Linked DNA regions of Arabidopsis thaliana. The protein of the gene in region 1 interacts with the protein of each later gene in a pairwise test. Each region holds a gene or a part of one and is shown on either strand. Other genes may lie near its edges.

The links. The genes of interacting proteins can lie anywhere in the genome.
Region 2: the proteins of GI (region 1) and KNAT1 interact in binary tests that used the Arabidopsis thaliana proteins (3 or more experiments, as listed by UniProt).
Region 3: the proteins of GI (region 1) and CDF1 interact in binary tests that used the Arabidopsis thaliana proteins (3 or more experiments, as listed by UniProt).

Annotation. Positions count from the first base shown.
Region 1 is NC_003070.9:8,060,059-8,067,761, forward strand, and holds the start of GI (gigantea protein (GI)), read left to right. Parts: upstream 1-1,692; 5' UTR 1,693-1,923; intron 1,924-2,132; 5' UTR 2,133-2,339; coding exon 2,340-2,504; intron 2,505-2,584; coding exon 2,585-2,639; intron 2,640-2,717; coding exon 2,718-2,860; intron 2,861-2,944; coding exon 2,945-3,216; intron 3,217-3,362; coding exon 3,363-3,418; intron 3,419-3,587; coding exon 3,588-3,825; intron 3,826-3,951; coding exon 3,952-4,102; intron 4,103-4,228; coding exon 4,229-4,438; intron 4,439-4,538; coding exon 4,539-6,071; intron 6,072-6,183; coding exon 6,184-6,252; intron 6,253-6,553; coding exon 6,554-6,772; intron 6,773-6,864; coding exon 6,865-6,957; intron 6,958-7,071; coding exon 7,072-7,389; 3' UTR 7,390-7,703. UniProt on the Arabidopsis thaliana protein: Involved in regulation of circadian rhythm and photoperiodic flowering. May play a role in maintenance of circadian amplitude and period length. Is involved in phytochrome B signaling. Stabilizes ADO3 and the circadian photoreceptor ADO1/ZTL.
Region 2 is NC_003075.7:5,147,175-5,153,010, forward strand, and holds KNAT1 (homeobox knotted-like protein), read right to left. Parts: upstream 3,986-5,836; 5' UTR 3,437-3,985; coding exon 2,969-3,436; intron 2,858-2,968; coding exon 2,732-2,857; intron 2,628-2,731; coding exon 2,489-2,627; intron 1,942-2,488; coding exon 1,685-1,941; intron 1,002-1,684; coding exon 795-1,001; 3' UTR 525-794; downstream 1-524. UniProt on the Arabidopsis thaliana protein: May play a role in meristem function, and may be involved in maintaining cells in an undifferentiated, meristematic state, and its expression disappears at the same time the shoot apex undergoes the transition from vegetative to reproductive development.
Region 3 is NC_003076.8:25,068,569-25,072,809, reverse strand, and holds CDF1 (cycling DOF factor 1), read left to right. Parts: upstream 1-1,698; 5' UTR 1,699-2,022; coding exon 2,023-2,115; intron 2,116-2,708; coding exon 2,709-3,512; 3' UTR 3,513-3,717; downstream 3,718-4,241. Other genes in the region: AT5G62440 (EMB514 (DUF3223)), read left to right, coding at 1-190. UniProt on the Arabidopsis thaliana protein: Transcription factor that binds specifically to a 5'-AA[AG]G-3' consensus core sequence. A flanking TGT sequence contributes to the specificity of binding. Regulates a photoperiodic flowering response. Transcriptional repressor of 'CONSTANS' expression.

The sequences.
Region 1 (7,703 bases):
TTTTTTTTCCATTTGATTTTTCTTATACTAAATTGATTGATGTCACGGTCCTTCTGTGAAAAAAGTATATTGTACTGTATAAATTTATAATAGTCATACTTGAAGATAACTAATATCATTTTCTAAAGGTTTTGTTGACAATGAAATGGGTAATGATGAACATCTCGTTTGCTAAACCACAAAAGAAATAATTCGTTGGACTATAACTTAAACTTATAATATATCAACTGAAATGCCTACAATTTGAGAATACGCCTTTTCAAAAAGTTTTAGAATTTTATAAAAATTTCTCCACCATAATATTACTTTAATAAAAGCTTGTTATTAAAATGATATATTAACAAAAAAAAAAGAGGTAGGCAAAGTAGCTTTTATTAAAATTAATGTTTTCCCTAATTGGTAAATCATAAACCAAAAAATTGAGGTAATTCTTAATATATTTACTATGATTAGAATGATACATTAATGTAACATTTTATCATCTTCATTAATAATAGTAAGTTCTCCTCAAAATTACAATTTGATATCAAAAAATATATTTGTATTACAAGCAATTACTGAAAAATTAAAATTACAATTTAGCCCAGTTACATAACTCCACGTAAGGTTTGAGCCCATCACATCACATGGTACATGACCAAAGCCCAGTTATGTTACCATGGAGTATTCTTCAGACAAGAGCCATCCAGACAGAAGTGGACCACACAATCACGAATCGTATGGAGATCATTACAATATATTGCTCACATCTTATTGCGCCACGTCTCTTATTTGGCGAGTGATCAACGTCCACAGATCTCTTGCTCCACTCTGATTGGTACACGTCATCATTTTATTGTGCTACTTGTTTATGTGGTACAGTAGAGACAAGTGGTAAGATTTTAAAATATCTTAAAAGATGTGTGAGGCCCATTTAGATATTTTCTCAACGGGCTGTTCCTCAAAAGCTGCCCGTTTATCTACAACCATCGAACGGCTCGAAACTATTCTGGGCTAGCTGCCCGAAATCTCTTAAAGGAATTTGTTGAGTGGGCTTGAATCAACGGTGGATAATTCGAAGGTGTACGTAACATCTCGTAGCATCTGAACTTAGCTCCCCTCAAAATATCTGTGGACATATGTCACTAGCTTTTTTTTTGTGTAATGAAACTATTAATTAATTAGGCAATCACATGAGAGATGTTATATACTTAAATTAATAACTCAATAATACAATCATGACCACCAAACCTTGAAATAAAATAATCTCTCTGATTACTTGTACAAATTCTTTACCAATATATGCCATACTGTGAATGTAATGGTTTATTTTAAAACAGCCAAATATTATTGATATAATTATATGTTTAAGTAGATTTTAAACTTAGCTCATGGTTAAAAATAGACAGAATTTTGGAGTAAATCTGAGTTTACAAAATTTATTTATTAGGATTAAAATTAATTACTTAAATTGGCAAACATTTTTCTTGGTGATTGTAACATACAATATACGAATTTGAATTCGCATTGTGATTCCAAAACAACACTAACATAAACTACCAGTAAAATTTTTTAAAATAAAATTTCATATATATATGCTTAAAAAATGTAACAAAAATATGGTAAATTTTTTAACCATGGTATGGGTGGAGATGTATGTGGGATGATGATGGTTATATGGTAATGGCGCATAAAGGTGGTGGCAAAGGCAAGGAAATATCGATGACACGTAAGCAGACGGGAAATCTTAAACCGAGTGGAGAAGCCTCCAAATCTCTTTTTTCTCTCTCTCTCTCCTAAGGCCACCACAATCTCTTCTTCTGTGTATGTATTCTTTTTTTCTCCGATATTCGTCGATCTCTCAAAAATATCCTCAAAGCCAAAAAAAAGCAAGAGTAGAGATAACCAACCAACAAACTCATAGGAAGACATATTTACTTTCAGGTCTTTCTTCTACTACCTTTTTCGTGGTTTTTGGTTGATTGATTCTCAGATGAGATTTTTTCCCGAATCATTTGATGTCTTTTTTTTTTAAATAAGTTCTTGGTAAATCACTGTTTCTACTAGCATTTTTTGTTTTCTCAGCTTAGATTTGTTGTTTGATTTGACATCTTATCTGATTGAGATTTTGTTCTTCTGAATTGTTGTTACAGGGTTTAGCTGTTTGATTCAGCTTCGATTTAGTGTACAGTGTGTTGATTAGTATAAAAAGGATTTAAAAGAATCTGGGAGATGTGTATAGTGATTGTTCTTGCTGGCGAATGTTAACACTACGTCGTATTGATTCTCGATTGATAGTAGAAGAAAGGTGTTAGTTAGATTGTTCGTTCATCTAGTTGGGGTTTAGTTTCGGTTCCTGGATGGCTAGTTCATCTTCATCTGAGAGATGGATCGATGGTCTTCAGTTCTCTTCCTTGTTATGGCCTCCGCCACGAGATCCTCAACAACATAAGGATCAAGTCGTTGCTTATGTTGAATATTTTGGTCAATTTACATCAGAGCAATTCCCAGATGACATTGCTGAGGTACTTGATACCTAATGAGTTTAATAAGAGTATTCTCTTAGTAGTGACGTTTTGATTCATGTATAATTTATCTGTATCAGTTGGTCCGGCATCAGTATCCATCAACTGAGAAGCGACTTTTAGACGATGTGCTGGGTATGATCAACATTTATGATCCACACTTCTCTTTTTGTGTGTGAATGTCTATCTGATTTTCGTTTTCTGATGAAACAGCGATGTTTGTCCTTCATCATCCGGAGCATGGTCATGCAGTCATTCTTCCAATCATTTCATGTCTTATTGATGGCTCGTTGGTGTACAGCAAGGAAGCTCATCCGTTTGCCTCTTTCATATCTTTAGTTTGCCCAAGTAGTGAGGTATATAATAGCTGTCTAGTATCATGCTTACTGATTTGGTGTAACCTATACCATTTTGTGCTAACATGTTCACTATCCTAACAGAATGACTATTCGGAGCAATGGGCTTTGGCATGTGGAGAAATCCTTCGCATTTTGACTCATTACAACCGTCCCATTTATAAAACTGAGCAGCAAAATGGAGATACAGAGAGAAATTGTCTGAGCAAAGCTACAACTAGTGGTTCTCCGACTTCAGAGCCTAAGGCTGGATCACCAACACAGCATGAAAGGAAACCTTTAAGGCCTTTGTCTCCATGGATCAGTGATATACTACTTGCTGCTCCTCTTGGTATAAGAAGTGACTATTTCCGATGGTAAGTAGACTCTGTTACTGATGCTTCTATGTGTTCATGCGCCGGCCTCCTTCTTTTATTTTGGTCTCTCTGCTGAGGTCTATGTATTGAGGTTCTGTAGTGGATTAAGCTTACTGACAACTAAAAATGTTGCTTATTATTTACAGGTGTAGTGGTGTAATGGGTAAATATGCTGCTGGAGAGCTCAAGCCGCCAACCATTGGTGAGTTCAAGAATTCCATGTTAATATCCCCTGGAACTGGATTTTGATGATAATTCTGATCAATAGAGTTGTTCTATCACTTCGTTCATAAATGTGTATCCATCACCTGTGGCTATAGAATGTGTTTTGAGTTGCTTCCTATAACTTTCATGTTGTCCTACTTTGGCAGCTTCTCGAGGATCTGGTAAACATCCTCAACTGATGCCTTCAACCCCAAGATGGGCTGTTGCTAATGGAGCTGGTGTCATACTGAGTGTTTGTGATGATGAAGTTGCTCGATATGAGACTGCTACGCTGACAGCGGTCGCTGTCCCTGCACTTCTTCTTCCTCCGCCAACGACATCCTTAGATGAGCATCTAGTTGCTGGCCTTCCAGCTCTTGAACCATATGCACGTTTGTTTCATAGGTATTGTTTCTGGGCTTACCCTTTCAATTAGGGTTTATTGGTAGTAGTCTGTTGCTAGTTTTAAGGTTGTGCTTCCTCGAATCCCTAGATCAGAATTGTTTTCTCACTTTCCTGTTATACTGTCAGATACTATGCCATTGCAACTCCAAGTGCTACGCAGAGACTTCTTCTTGGACTCTTAGAAGCACCACCGTCGTGGGCTCCAGATGCACTTGATGCTGCTGTACAGCTTGTGGAACTCCTTCGAGCTGCTGAAGATTATGCATCTGGTGTAAGGGTAAGCGTAATATGAATCTCTTAATTACCCTCCAGAAAGCTAATTGTGTCCCTTGTTATAAAAAAAGTCAGCTTTGGTATGTCATCAAAGAAATCAGCTTTGATCACATTCTTTTTCTTGGTGCAGCTACCCAGGAACTGGATGCATTTGCACTTCTTGCGGGCTATAGGAATTGCTATGTCTATGAGGGCAGGTGTTGCTGCTGATGCTGCAGCCGCTTTGCTTTTCCGCATACTCTCACAGCCGGCACTGCTTTTTCCTCCGCTAAGTCAAGTTGAGGGAGTAGAAATTCAGCACGCGCCTATTGGTGGCTACAGTTCAAATTACAGAAAACAGGCATGGTTCCTCTTTATATTTTTCTGCTATTCCATCTCTGATATGCGATTGGCATTCTACTAGAAAATTATATTGAAACTGACTCATTTCATCTCAACAGATAGAAGTTCCTGCAGCAGAAGCAACCATTGAAGCCACTGCCCAAGGAATTGCCTCAATGCTTTGTGCTCATGGTCCTGAAGTTGAGTGGAGAATTTGCACTATATGGGAAGCTGCTTATGGTTTGATCCCTTTAAATTCTTCGGCGGTTGATCTTCCCGAAATCATAGTTGCTACCCCACTGCAACCTCCTATCTTGTCATGGAATTTATACATTCCACTCCTCAAAGTACTTGAATATCTTCCACGGGGGAGTCCTTCGGAAGCATGCTTGATGAAAATATTTGTTGCCACTGTGGAAACAATACTCAGTAGAACTTTTCCGCCTGAATCTTCCAGGGAACTAACCAGAAAAGCTAGATCGAGTTTTACCACAAGATCAGCGACCAAAAATCTTGCTATGTCTGAGCTTCGTGCTATGGTCCATGCTCTCTTTTTAGAATCATGCGCTGGTGTGGAATTAGCTTCACGCCTACTTTTTGTTGTGTTGACTGTATGTGTTAGCCATGAAGCACAGTCTAGTGGTAGCAAGAGACCGAGAAGTGAATATGCTAGTACTACTGAAAATATTGAGGCGAATCAACCTGTATCTAACAATCAAACTGCTAACCGTAAAAGTAGGAATGTCAAGGGACAGGGACCTGTGGCAGCATTTGATTCATACGTTCTTGCTGCTGTTTGTGCTCTTGCCTGTGAGGTTCAGCTGTATCCTATGATCTCTGGTGGGGGGAACTTTTCCAATTCTGCCGTGGCTGGAACTATTACAAAGCCTGTAAAGATAAATGGGTCATCTAAAGAGTATGGAGCTGGGATTGACTCGGCAATTAGTCATACGCGCCGAATTTTGGCAATCCTAGAGGCACTCTTTTCATTAAAACCATCTTCTGTGGGGACTCCATGGAGTTACAGTTCTAGTGAGATAGTTGCTGCGGCCATGGTTGCAGCTCATATTTCCGAACTGTTCAGACGTTCAAAGGCCTTGACGCATGCATTGTCTGGGTTGATGAGATGTAAGTGGGATAAGGAAATTCATAAAAGAGCATCATCATTATATAACCTCATAGATGTTCACAGCAAAGTTGTTGCCTCCATTGTTGACAAAGCTGAACCCTTGGAAGCCTACCTTAAGAATACACCGGTTCAGAAGGATTCTGTGACCTGTTTAAACTGGAAACAAGAGAACACATGTGCAAGCACCACATGCTTTGATACAGCGGTGACATCCGCCTCAAGGACTGAAATGAATCCAAGAGGAAACCATAAGTATGCTAGACATTCAGATGAAGGCTCAGGGAGACCCTCAGAGAAGGGTATCAAAGATTTCCTCTTGGATGCTTCTGATCTTGCGAATTTCCTCACAGCTGATAGACTCGCAGGGTTCTATTGTGGTACACAAAAGCTTTTGAGGTCAGTGCTTGCAGAGAAACCGGAGCTGTCTTTCTCCGTTGTTTCACTGTTATGGCACAAACTGATTGCTGCTCCTGAAATCCAGCCCACCGCAGAAAGCACCTCTGCGCAACAAGGATGGAGACAGGTAAACCTCAGCACTTCTATTTCCCAGCTCGCTTACAGTTTCCTTGGTAGTTCTTTACTAATCCAATTAAGTCGCTCGACTTCATACACTGATCATATTTTTTATATATCAGGTTGTTGATGCGCTATGCAATGTCGTATCTGCAACGCCAGCGAAAGCAGCAGCAGCAGTTGTCCTTCAGGTCCAAATTACTCTTTGACTTTTTATTTCATTTGTCAGGAATGCAACACCTGTGTAAAGATTAAACTGCGGAAAACCTATGGCCTGTGTTAATGTTTTATAATGCTTGGTTCACTCATTTGATCTCTCATGAATTTATAAAAATTAAGCTTGGAATTTATATGCAACACTTGTTTTAATATGCCAAGGATAGGAAATAAGGAAGAAAAAATCTGTGTAAAATAATGGCTTGTTTCAAGCTCATATGTTGAAGGATTTACTCTAATGCTCTATTGTCTGAAATGGTCTTGTGTTATTTACAGGCTGAAAGGGAGTTGCAGCCTTGGATCGCCAAAGATGATGAAGAAGGCCAAAAAATGTGGAAAATCAACCAACGGATAGTCAAAGTGTTGGTGGAACTCATGCGCAATCATGACAGGCCTGAGTCACTGGTGATTCTCGCAAGTGCATCAGATCTTCTTCTGCGGGCAACTGATGGAATGCTTGTTGATGGAGAAGCTTGTACATTACCTCAACTTGAGGTACTGCACTGTTATAGATTGCTCTTCAATGCCCTTCTTCGGGCTAGAGTAATAATCATTTTCTGATTCCACTGTATTTTAAACTTTTGCAGCTACTTGAAGCCACGGCAAGAGCAATACAGCCGGTGCTAGCTTGGGGGCCATCTGGACTAGCAGTGGTCGACGGTTTATCCAATCTATTGAAGGTAAAAGCAGAATCGAACAGAGCCTATGGTTTCCTGCGTCGATTGTAGATGATCAGTAGTAGGTCCAGTTACCAAAGTGCTTAACCTTGTTCACATCTTTTTGCTTCTATGCAGTGTCGTCTACCAGCAACAATACGGTGCCTTTCACACCCAAGTGCACACGTACGTGCCTTAAGCACGTCAGTACTACGTGATATCATGAACCAAAGCTCCATACCCATCAAAGTAACTCCAAAACTGCCAACAACAGAGAAGAACGGAATGAATAGTCCGTCCTATCGATTCTTCAACGCCGCCTCAATAGACTGGAAAGCCGATATCCAAAACTGTTTAAACTGGGAAGCTCACAGCTTGCTCTCCACAACTATGCCTACTCAGTTTCTCGACACTGCGGCTCGGGAACTCGGCTGTACTATATCCTTGTCCCAATAACGAGCACCCACTTTTGTTTTTGGTAAATTTTAGTTCTCTAGACAAAACATTTGGACGTAGACCAAGAAGAATATATATATAGTTTGTTGTATGTAATGTTGTAATGATGAGTGACTGACGCAATCACTCCCACCGGCGTTGGATTTGCTCTCGCTCGGTGTCTTATATAACTCAACCTCTTCTCTGTACATTTTAAATGACGAAGTAGCTCAATCTTTTTTTTTGTGCGTCTGGTGTTTAGTCTTCAGTGGATTCTAAATCGTAATGTATAGAAGTGAAAAATTTACAAATTTACTTATTTCCGAATACTCTTA
Region 2 (5,836 bases), on another chromosome or scaffold:
ATGGTGACTCGGCTCGCTGGTCTTTGACCCTTCTTGAATCATCATTAGTCTTCTTAGAATTAATTTGCTGGTGAATAATTAACCCTAGGCCTTGTGCTTGATTGAGACTCCAATTGGGCAAGAGTCCTCCAAAATGCTCTTCATCAATCGGTTTGATAAATGTACCGGCTGATTTGGTATGGTCCCGGTTTGGTTTAATTTGGATGTCCGCATCAGATGACGAGTGGGTGCAAAGGGAGAATCTTTAACTTAATCTTTCGACAATAGTTTTTTTTTTTCTGGTAGTGATTCCATGACCTATGTATTATGATGTAATGCTTTCGCATAAGTCATAATATATGCCTGAAACCGTGTTCGAAGCAAAGATGGTTTTGAGACTTATCAACTATCGATGTTTTACATTTTGTGGATTTTGTTTTAGCTTGTGGAAAGGCATGTAAGAATCCATTAGATCAATTTGGGTTTTGTCTTTCAAAACCATACATTTCATGCCATATAAAATAAAAAAATGGAGCAACACCTTTTCAGAATAGCATTTTCCTTTCACACATTATTAAATAAAAACATTAGTGAGAAAACAAAAAAACAAAATACACCGAAAAAAAGAGAAAATAAAATGAAGGGATATTTCTGACTAGGAAGTCTCAAACTCCCCGAACGACATAAGACATTACAAAAGGCGTGAAAACAAAGAAAGCTATAAGTAGCAAACTGATGTAGGGGAATTCAAAACATGAGTTGTAACAAGAAAGCAACGAGAGGTTGTTATTATGTGGCTAAAGCTTTTGGATGTCTTATGGACCGAGACGATAAGGTCCATCACCCATGTAATGACCATCCATGTACAGAGCTGCGTGGTGCGGGTGCTGCAGACCATCCATCACCATGAACTGCATGTCTTCAGATGGTTTCCAGTGACGCTTTCTTTGGTTTATGAACCAATTGTTGATTTGTTTCTGATCTAACCCCGTTGATTCCGCCAACGCTACCTTCTCTGACTCCTGCCACACAACTCAAACCAACCATCTTCATTTATGTAGTAATCAATGTATAAAAAGCAATGCTAGAGATAATCGAAAATTATTTTTAAATGATTCTAGACATAAAAATGGAAAATGACCTAAAGTTTGTTGTTTTGAACGATTCTCTAAGTAAAATGACTAACTTCATTTTTCTTTGACATCAAGTAACGACTAACTATATGTTGTCTTATTATCTTTTTAACAACATGTCATTTATATTTACCAATATTAAACATGTTTTTTTCACTATCATTACAGTCGGTTAGATTAGTTATTTCATTTCAAACTAATTAAAACTACAAAAAAAATTAAATTGTTTCAAAATATATGGATAAAAATTTCATCACAAACTTACATTTTTTAAAAAAAAGTGATTGATATACGTGTTAGAAAATAGTATGTTAAGGGTTAGAACACCATGACTAAGATATGTATCCTAGTGACTAATTCTAGTGTTGTGAGCATTCGGATTTAAAACCATGTTGTTGGAAACCGTACAAGGATTTAAACACAAAATCGGTCATGCAAGTACCTACTTGGCCTAACATAGCGGCTTCAGAGGGAATTGCTAGCTTAAAGATAGGTTTTTAAAACACTTAATTTGTAGTATATATTTTAAAAAATATGAGGGCAAAGAGAGATGAGAGAAAATTTATACGTACAGAAGGATATGGCCACTTGTAATGCAACTCCCACCACGTGAGAAGCTTCTGCCGTGCTTCTTTAGGAAGTTTACCTTTCTTTTTCTTCTTGGATAGTTCTTGCTTCAAACTGCTTAAGTATCCACTATACTTCTTCAGCAAATGGTTCTTGAGTTCCCGATCTTCGGCCCTCGGGTCTATTTCCGGTAATTCTGTTTCCCCTCCGCTGTTATTCTCTTGTTCTTCGTCTGATGATCCCATATTGTCACTCTTCCCATCTGCTTCAACATAATATATTTCATGAAGTTAAATGGTTTAGTCATTTAACAACATTCTAGTCATCTACCTTTATGATTAGACTAATTAATCCGAGTAGAGATTTTGATGTTTTAGCATAACGAAATCGAAGAAGATAATGTCCCAAATAAATCTTCACGAGCAGCACCAAAAGTTCTTGTGATAGTACTTTTGGGCCGAGTGAAAAGAAAAAAAACAAAAATAAGCCCCACCCATCTTTGGATGGATTCCACAATGGGGAAAACAAGAACAAATATGCACACCTATTTGTATCTTACATACTTTCCAACAATAATGCATCTCAATTATCTTAATTATCTTATAATCTTAATTAACATTTGAAAATGTATGTAGACTATGATTTTTTTTTTTTTTAATATCTCAATGTTACAACAATTTACCATGAACCAAAGAAACATGCCAATTTATGCAATCCATCATTAGCCCTACCTTGCCACTACACTTTGTTTTCTCCAGCCATTTCTTACATGTGCATATATGTATGTATATGAGATTGATGACATGTACCAGGATTGTTGAGGATGTGAATGGGACTCTGACACAACATGCTAAGCTGAGATTCAATACGACGTATAAACTCCATTGCTTCCTGAATGGGCCTTGTTAGCTCCTCACGATATTTAACCAACATGTCACAGTATGCTTCCTATTCATACCAAAAAATAAAAAAGGAAAATCAAGACTTCTAACACATATACACACAAAGAACCGACCCATTTAATTAAAATTCAACTTTGGTTAGTAATGAACCATGAATTGATCTAACTCCGGGTCTCTAGAGGAGGCAGAGACAGACGGTGTTGACCGCTGTTGTCGAGCCTCAAAGTCTTGCCGTGCCGCCGTAATTCTATCAACCACATCAGGTGGAGCTCCAATCTATATAAACCATGACCCATGAACATACATATATATGTCACACATAACTATATATTATATCTTTAAAAAAAGAGTATATATTATAACATAACAATAAGAATAAAACCAAACCTTTTGGCAGTCCAAGTAAGCTTGTAGGAGGGTAGAGTAGTGAGGATGAGCAATGATTTTAGCCTTCATGGCTTCAACATCGCTTACGTTGTCATTGTTGTTGTTGTTAGCTTCTTGAGTATTGTGGATGGCTCTCATTAACATGGAGTAATGATTGATTCTTGAGGAGCTAGCTTCAGATTTAACAGATGGGTTGTTGTTGTTGTTGGGTTGATCATGATCAGATCGGAAGCAATTCTCGGTTGTTTGAGGGAGAAGAGAGCTCATATGTGGAAACAACATGTGTTGGTGGTGATGATTGTTGTTGTTAGTATTATTGTAACCAGGACCATAATTGCTACTATTATTATTGTTGTTGTTGTTGTTGGTATCACTTGTGTTATCGTTTTTGTTGGAAGAAGAGATTGGAGAGTACAAGAAACTTACTCTTTGAGGAGTGGTGCTGTTGTCATGCTGGTATTCTTCCATACCCAGATGAGTAAAGATTTGAGAGAGAGAGAGAATATAAAAATCAAAGAAAAAAAATAAATTAAAAAAAAATAAAACCCTAGAAAAATAAAAAAGGATGGGTGTAAGATGAAGAGGATGTATGTATTCTTGCTTTTGTTCTTATTTCAATCAAAGGTCTCTGTAAGACTATAACCACATCAAATCCAGACGACTAGACGACTCATCTATGAAATCAAAAAGGCCTAACTCAAATTAATATAAAAAAAGAGAGAAAATTTTGTGAGGTGAAGTTGCACCCAAAGAAAAACCAAATAAATTGAAAAAGATATATTTGAGGAAGAAAAAACGAACTAGGTATATAGAATTCGTCAAGGAAGTGACATGGAAGAGAAGAAAATAAAAAAAAAAAAAAGAGAAAGAGAGAAGAAGAGAGAAAGAGAGAGAGAGAGAGATTAACAATAATGAAGAAGTTGGGTGGCTTGAGTGGATTGACAAGACGTCGTTTGCTTTGGGAGCAAAAAGAAATATTTGAAAATTAAAATAAAGGTAAGAGAGAAGGGACAAGAGATAAGGCAAAGGCTTCTCTCTTCTGTTTTCCTCTCATAGGCTATTTTATACATTAGAACAAGACTAAGTAATTTACTTAATTAAAATGTGGTTTATAATATTCGAATTAAGATGAACCACTCAGTGTTTAAGCAACTAGGTCTTCGCGGCTACTTCAGGCTATGGTTTCTTGCTAGGTTGAATGATATATTTTGTACTATTTTCTAGTAATGAAATGTTTTTTTTTCTTAAAAGAATAGTCAAGAAAAAAGTTTTAAAAAAAATATGTATGATTTATATATACTTCTAATACGATATAAACCCAAGAATTTGTAGTCTAGTGGTTGAACATAGAGTTCGTTCAACAAATTGTGATCATGTGTCACATTATAATTCTATACTTAGGAGAGGGGACTACGTTTATCTTGTTCTGGTCCTCGGTTTCACTGTACGGGTTTCTGCCTAAAACTTACGGATAACAAAAAAAGAATTATAAACAATATGATAGAAATGTACATATTTGATGCAAGACTTGGATGTTTTTGGAGTTTAATCAAATCGATGAAATTATAATTTTAGTTTTCGTAATTTCGTATGTATATTAGTGGAGAGATCACACTATCCGAATATTTGTTATCGGATAGAAGATTACATTAGAAACCGAGAAAAAAAAAAGGAATTATAAAAATGCTTTACAGGATAGTGGATATTATACGATATTCTGCTAATTTCCAACTATTGGCTCTATGATAAGACCATGCTGCAAACACACTTCTTTCAACACTTGTTCTGTTCCACGGTCAACATTCAATTTTCTATTTAATCTCGATTTATATTTCATGATTCATGAGACGTATAGAGTGCCTATGAATTCATTTTTATACAAAAAGAAACGAAAATCCTAGGGTTTTATTTATATATAAATCGTCAAATCCTAGGGCTCTAGATCAAAAAGTTGGCTCATCGATAGATTTTTTTTTTTGTTTACCTCATCACTGCACTAGACCGAAACTTACATTGTGACTTGTGAGAGTTTGTAAACAACAAAATGTAAGATTTCTTACAAATTATGACTTGCTATGCCGGAAATTTTGATAGTAAATATTTAAATATATATGTATACATATATTATTTCTTACTATTAAAAAAATAAAATCAGCTGCTTAGAACCAATATTATTAGAATTTCATTAAAAAAAATCGAAAATGTTAAAGGTTAAATTTTTGCATTCGAAATGTTTTCTTTTCCTTTAAGACCTCCTCTTATTTTCTGTTTCAGTATAAGATGCTGAAACATTGACATCATAAAAGATCATTCATTAAGGGTACATCTTTGAATTAAATATCATAATATTCCAAAACACAAGTGCAATAGACTAAAAACACACTATAAATAAGTCTCTGATCCCAATATTCTCATTAATATGGTCATGCAAGAAGAATATATATATATATATATATATATATATATATAAATAAAAATATTATAATACCCATAACCATATGGATCTAATTTCTTATAATTTTCTATTAAAAAAAAAATTGTTTTCAAAAGTGTGTACAATTTCATAGAATTCTATCTTTTAGATTAGAAAGTCAATTATAACAATAAAATAAAACATTCAATTTATTATATAAAAATTCACCGGTAGGCATAGATTGTTCTCTAAATTTATTAATAAACTCATTTACTCATAACTATGTAACGACTTGTATGAGGTTATCTAAACCTGCAATAAAACACTCAAGAGATACACTAATTAAACTAATCTCTAAATACAACATAGCTACTTATCAATCATTTTCAATCAATGGTCAAATGTTAAGAAAATAAAAGGAGATGATAAGCTAATCAAATCTAGAAATAAAGTAC
Region 3 (4,241 bases), on another chromosome or scaffold:
CTTTCTGGTTAGGGAAGACGATACTGCAGACGATTTCAGCTTCAGGAAGTGTGTTGATCAAATCCTCCCATTGCCTGAAAACATGAAGACTCCTGGAGCTAACGGCAATGGACATGGTGGAGGTCGCGGTGGCGGTGGTGGAAGAAGAGGCGGTCGTGGTGGTGGTAGAGGAGGGAGATTCAGAAGATGAATATGCTGACACTTGATGCCTTATTTCAAAAGAAAATTTTGAAAATTTCAGATTTAGTTCTTTTGCCAAAAACTTTAAAAGTTATGATCTTGTCTAATGCAACTGCTTTTTGTTGGAGAAAAATTGTCAGTTTATATAACCCATTATTGCTGAAGAAGAAGAATATTGTCCCTACTATCTTGACAACATCAGAAAAAAACACAGACGCGTCAATAGAACTAAAAATCTGGTTGATCTAGTTTTTAAAAACCAATAATTCAAAAACGAAAAACTCAAATCAAAATCTAGATGAAAAAAAAACACTTTCCATTGATAGTGTAGTGTTGATCTGGTTGCTAAATGATAATGTTAAATAAAAAGAATTGGGGAAGTTATGAAAAACCGACATTTTGACTTTGGTAACTTACTGTGTGTGACATGTTCACCGTTTACGACCCTTCTAAGAGAAAGACAATGCCCTCAAACTAAAGCTGTCTTAAATCTTAACCCTGCTAAAAAATGATTACATGAAGTGATAACACTGGTTGGCACACGTCTTGGAATAATGGATTATTTTGAAACACATTATGAATTATAAAGAAACATTATCCGATATTCGGTATTCGGATTAATATTCCAAATTGTCTTCTTACACAATATACAAATAGACACATACACAAATTGTCTTTTGAAGATGCAACAAATTTTGTTTTGTTAAGCCTTCTTAGATTTAGGAAGCTTCTTAACTACGATCTTACTGCAACACAATCAGTTTGTGAAATCTATGATCTGACCAAGATGCAGGTGAGTAAGGGACCTACAGTAGAAGTTGACATGGAAAAAAGGCAGAGTTTGGTAAATCATAAAATGTGGCAGAGACCTTTTTGGTAATAGCCAATGAGAGAGCACCTCATATCTATTACCTTCTTCTGCAGTCTTCTTATCTTAACGTACAACCGTTCACTTAATGAAATTCGTCAATGGATGTTATATGGTTGTGAAGTTTTTTTTTTGTTTTTTTTTTTATAATTGATTTTCTATTAATGGTTGTGATTAATCTTTGTGTATAAAAGAAGGGTATATGTTTCTCCAAACCAAAAAGTGTAGATCGTTTTCAAATGAAGGATTTTTATCCTTCTACCAACCAATTAAGAAATTGCACGTAACAAGACAGCTCTCGTGTGAGCTGCACCAAAGCCATCCCCGCGATGCTGACATTTACCTACCCAAAAGTTTCTAAACAGTTTACATAATTGTTTTTTTTTCTTCAATTCAACAATAGATAGATAATTGTTAAGATATGTTAGAAATCTTATATCAGTATTATATATAACGAAGCGTGTTTATAAAAACACTTTTTCTGAAAACTTTATTGCATCCTCGTAGGAGCACTTCGTTTTTTATCGTTCAAACTTGTTATGCATTTGTTCCATGTATATAACTACATAAGACCTTTTTGATCTGTTTGGTTAACGGAAAGTTTAGTGAAAATCTAAAACATATAAAAAAATCGATTCTTCGAATAGTTTTGACAAAGTTTAAAGAAAATAACAAAAGATTATATGCTATGGGTTTTAATGGGGTTTGGGAGAAAAGTAAAATATCAGAGGCCACATAAACTTGTGGTCTAGAATCAAACCAAAATGCTGACCTGGCATCCACTTCACTTTTTAAAACGTATCAAAATCCCAAATCTCACGATTTCCAAACCAAAAATTTCCAAACTACCCAAACCCCCCACAAAACATCTTCGAAGAGAAACAAAAAAAAACACCCTGAAAAGAAAGGAAAAGAGACACAGAGAGTCAGAAACTTACGAGTAAAAAAGAGCACATCTTAGGAAAACGATAATAATGCTGGAAACTAAAGATCCTGCGATAAAGCTCTTTGGTATGAAAATTCCTTTCCCGACGGTTTTAGAGGTTGCTGATGAAGAAGAAGAAAAGGTACTCATTATTATGTCTACTTTTTTGTTTCTGAAAGGGCTGAGTATGTTTTGTTATATACAAGTATAGAGAAAATGAGTTTTGGTGTTTTGAAAAGGGTATTTGAGTTTTTGTTCATTTTCCCATCAAAGGCAACTGTTTTCTTTTTTTGGTATCGTTTTATATTCATAGTTGATGAATTGGTAAACTTTTTGGAGAATTCCTAAGAAAATACACTTAAACCATCTGTTTAATTAAAACTCTAGTTCTCTGTTGGTGAACCAGAGGTTGCAATTTGGTTTGATGACTTTTCATGAAACGAAAAAGCATATTCGTTTCTCCATAAAGTAATCATATTTTTTAGTGAAAAAGGTTGCTTTATAGTATACACACTGAAACCAATAAAGGTGAGCGAATTTAGACTTCTAACTAAAGCGTGTTCTTTAAAAGACTTTTTCCTCCACCAAAATTTCATCTAGAACCTTCTTCTTGAGAATCATACTCATTATAATACAAAGTTTTAAATTCATTTCTGTTTAACATGCTTCAAAAATGTTATTCTTTCTTTATTCATCATCCGTCCCTAATAATCCGATTTCATTGTCTTGCATCAGAACCAAAACAAGACATTAACTGATCAATCGGAGAAAGACAAAACCCTAAAGAAACCAACCAAGATTCTTCCATGTCCAAGATGCAACAGCATGGAGACTAAGTTCTGTTACTACAACAACTACAACGTAAACCAACCTCGCCATTTTTGTAAAGCTTGTCAGAGATATTGGACCTCAGGTGGGACCATGAGAAGTGTTCCAATCGGAGCAGGACGGCGCAAGAACAAGAACAACTCACCAACTTCACATTACCACCATGTGACTATCTCCGAAACAAATGGTCCGGTCCTTAGTTTCAGCCTCGGAGATGATCAAAAGGTCTCGAGTAATAGGTTTGGTAATCAAAAGCTAGTTGCTAGGATAGAGAACAATGACGAGCGCTCTAATAACAACACTTCGAACGGTTTGAATTGTTTTCCGGGAGTTTCGTGGCCGTACACGTGGAATCCTGCGTTTTACCCGGTTTACCCTTATTGGAGCATGCCAGTGTTGTCTTCTCCGGTAAGTTCAAGTCCTACTTCTACTCTTGGTAAGCATTCGAGAGACGAAGACGAGACGGTGAAGCAAAAACAGAGGAATGGATCTGTATTGGTTCCAAAGACTTTGAGAATTGATGATCCTAATGAAGCTGCAAAGAGTTCGATATGGACAACACTTGGGATCAAGAACGAAGTTATGTTCAATGGGTTTGGTTCGAAGAAAGAGGTTAAGCTCAGTAACAAAGAAGAAACAGAGACCTCACTTGTTCTTTGTGCAAACCCTGCTGCGTTATCAAGATCAATCAATTTCCATGAGCAGATGTGATTGTATACATATGATATATACGTGTATGTATGTATAGATGTGGTGGAAGATTAAGTTAGATCCATCAAAATCTGACTTTTTTGTTCTTTCGTTGTGGCTTACATGAAGCTTTATAATAGCTTTTGTACCATATACTTTTTAGTCTTTTAAGTTTGATTTTTGTTGTAAGATTAAATACGATGAAATAAAAGTTCTTTTTGACCGTTATCTTGCATTCAAATTAAATACGCTGTTAAAAGCTAACAGTAAAAATATAAAAAAACTGTTGTGAGATTTGAGATAGACATCTGATTTACTTTAAACACGAGTGGATAAGTAAAGTAAGATAAGATAATGTAAAAAGATTTCTTGAATTTGACCTCTTTTGTGCGATAACTAACAGTTGTGTCATGTGTGCTGGTGCGGGTGGGCACGATAAAACAGCACAAAACATAATAATGTTGAATATGGAAAACAAAGCAAACAGCAACAAATAAAATAAACTATAATGAAATTAGATTTAATCAAGTTTTGCAGAGTTTTTAAATTATCGTTAGTTAATCTATTTACTTTTATTTTGACTTTCTTTGCAACTTAGCCCCTTTTAATGGAGTGTTGTATTTTAGATCATTTTCGTGTAATGTTTTTTTGGTAAAGTACATAGTATTTTTGGATAATAAATATCCTAGATTGATTAAAAAATTTAGTTCTTGGATAATTTGTTGACCAACCGTATCAAACGAATGTACT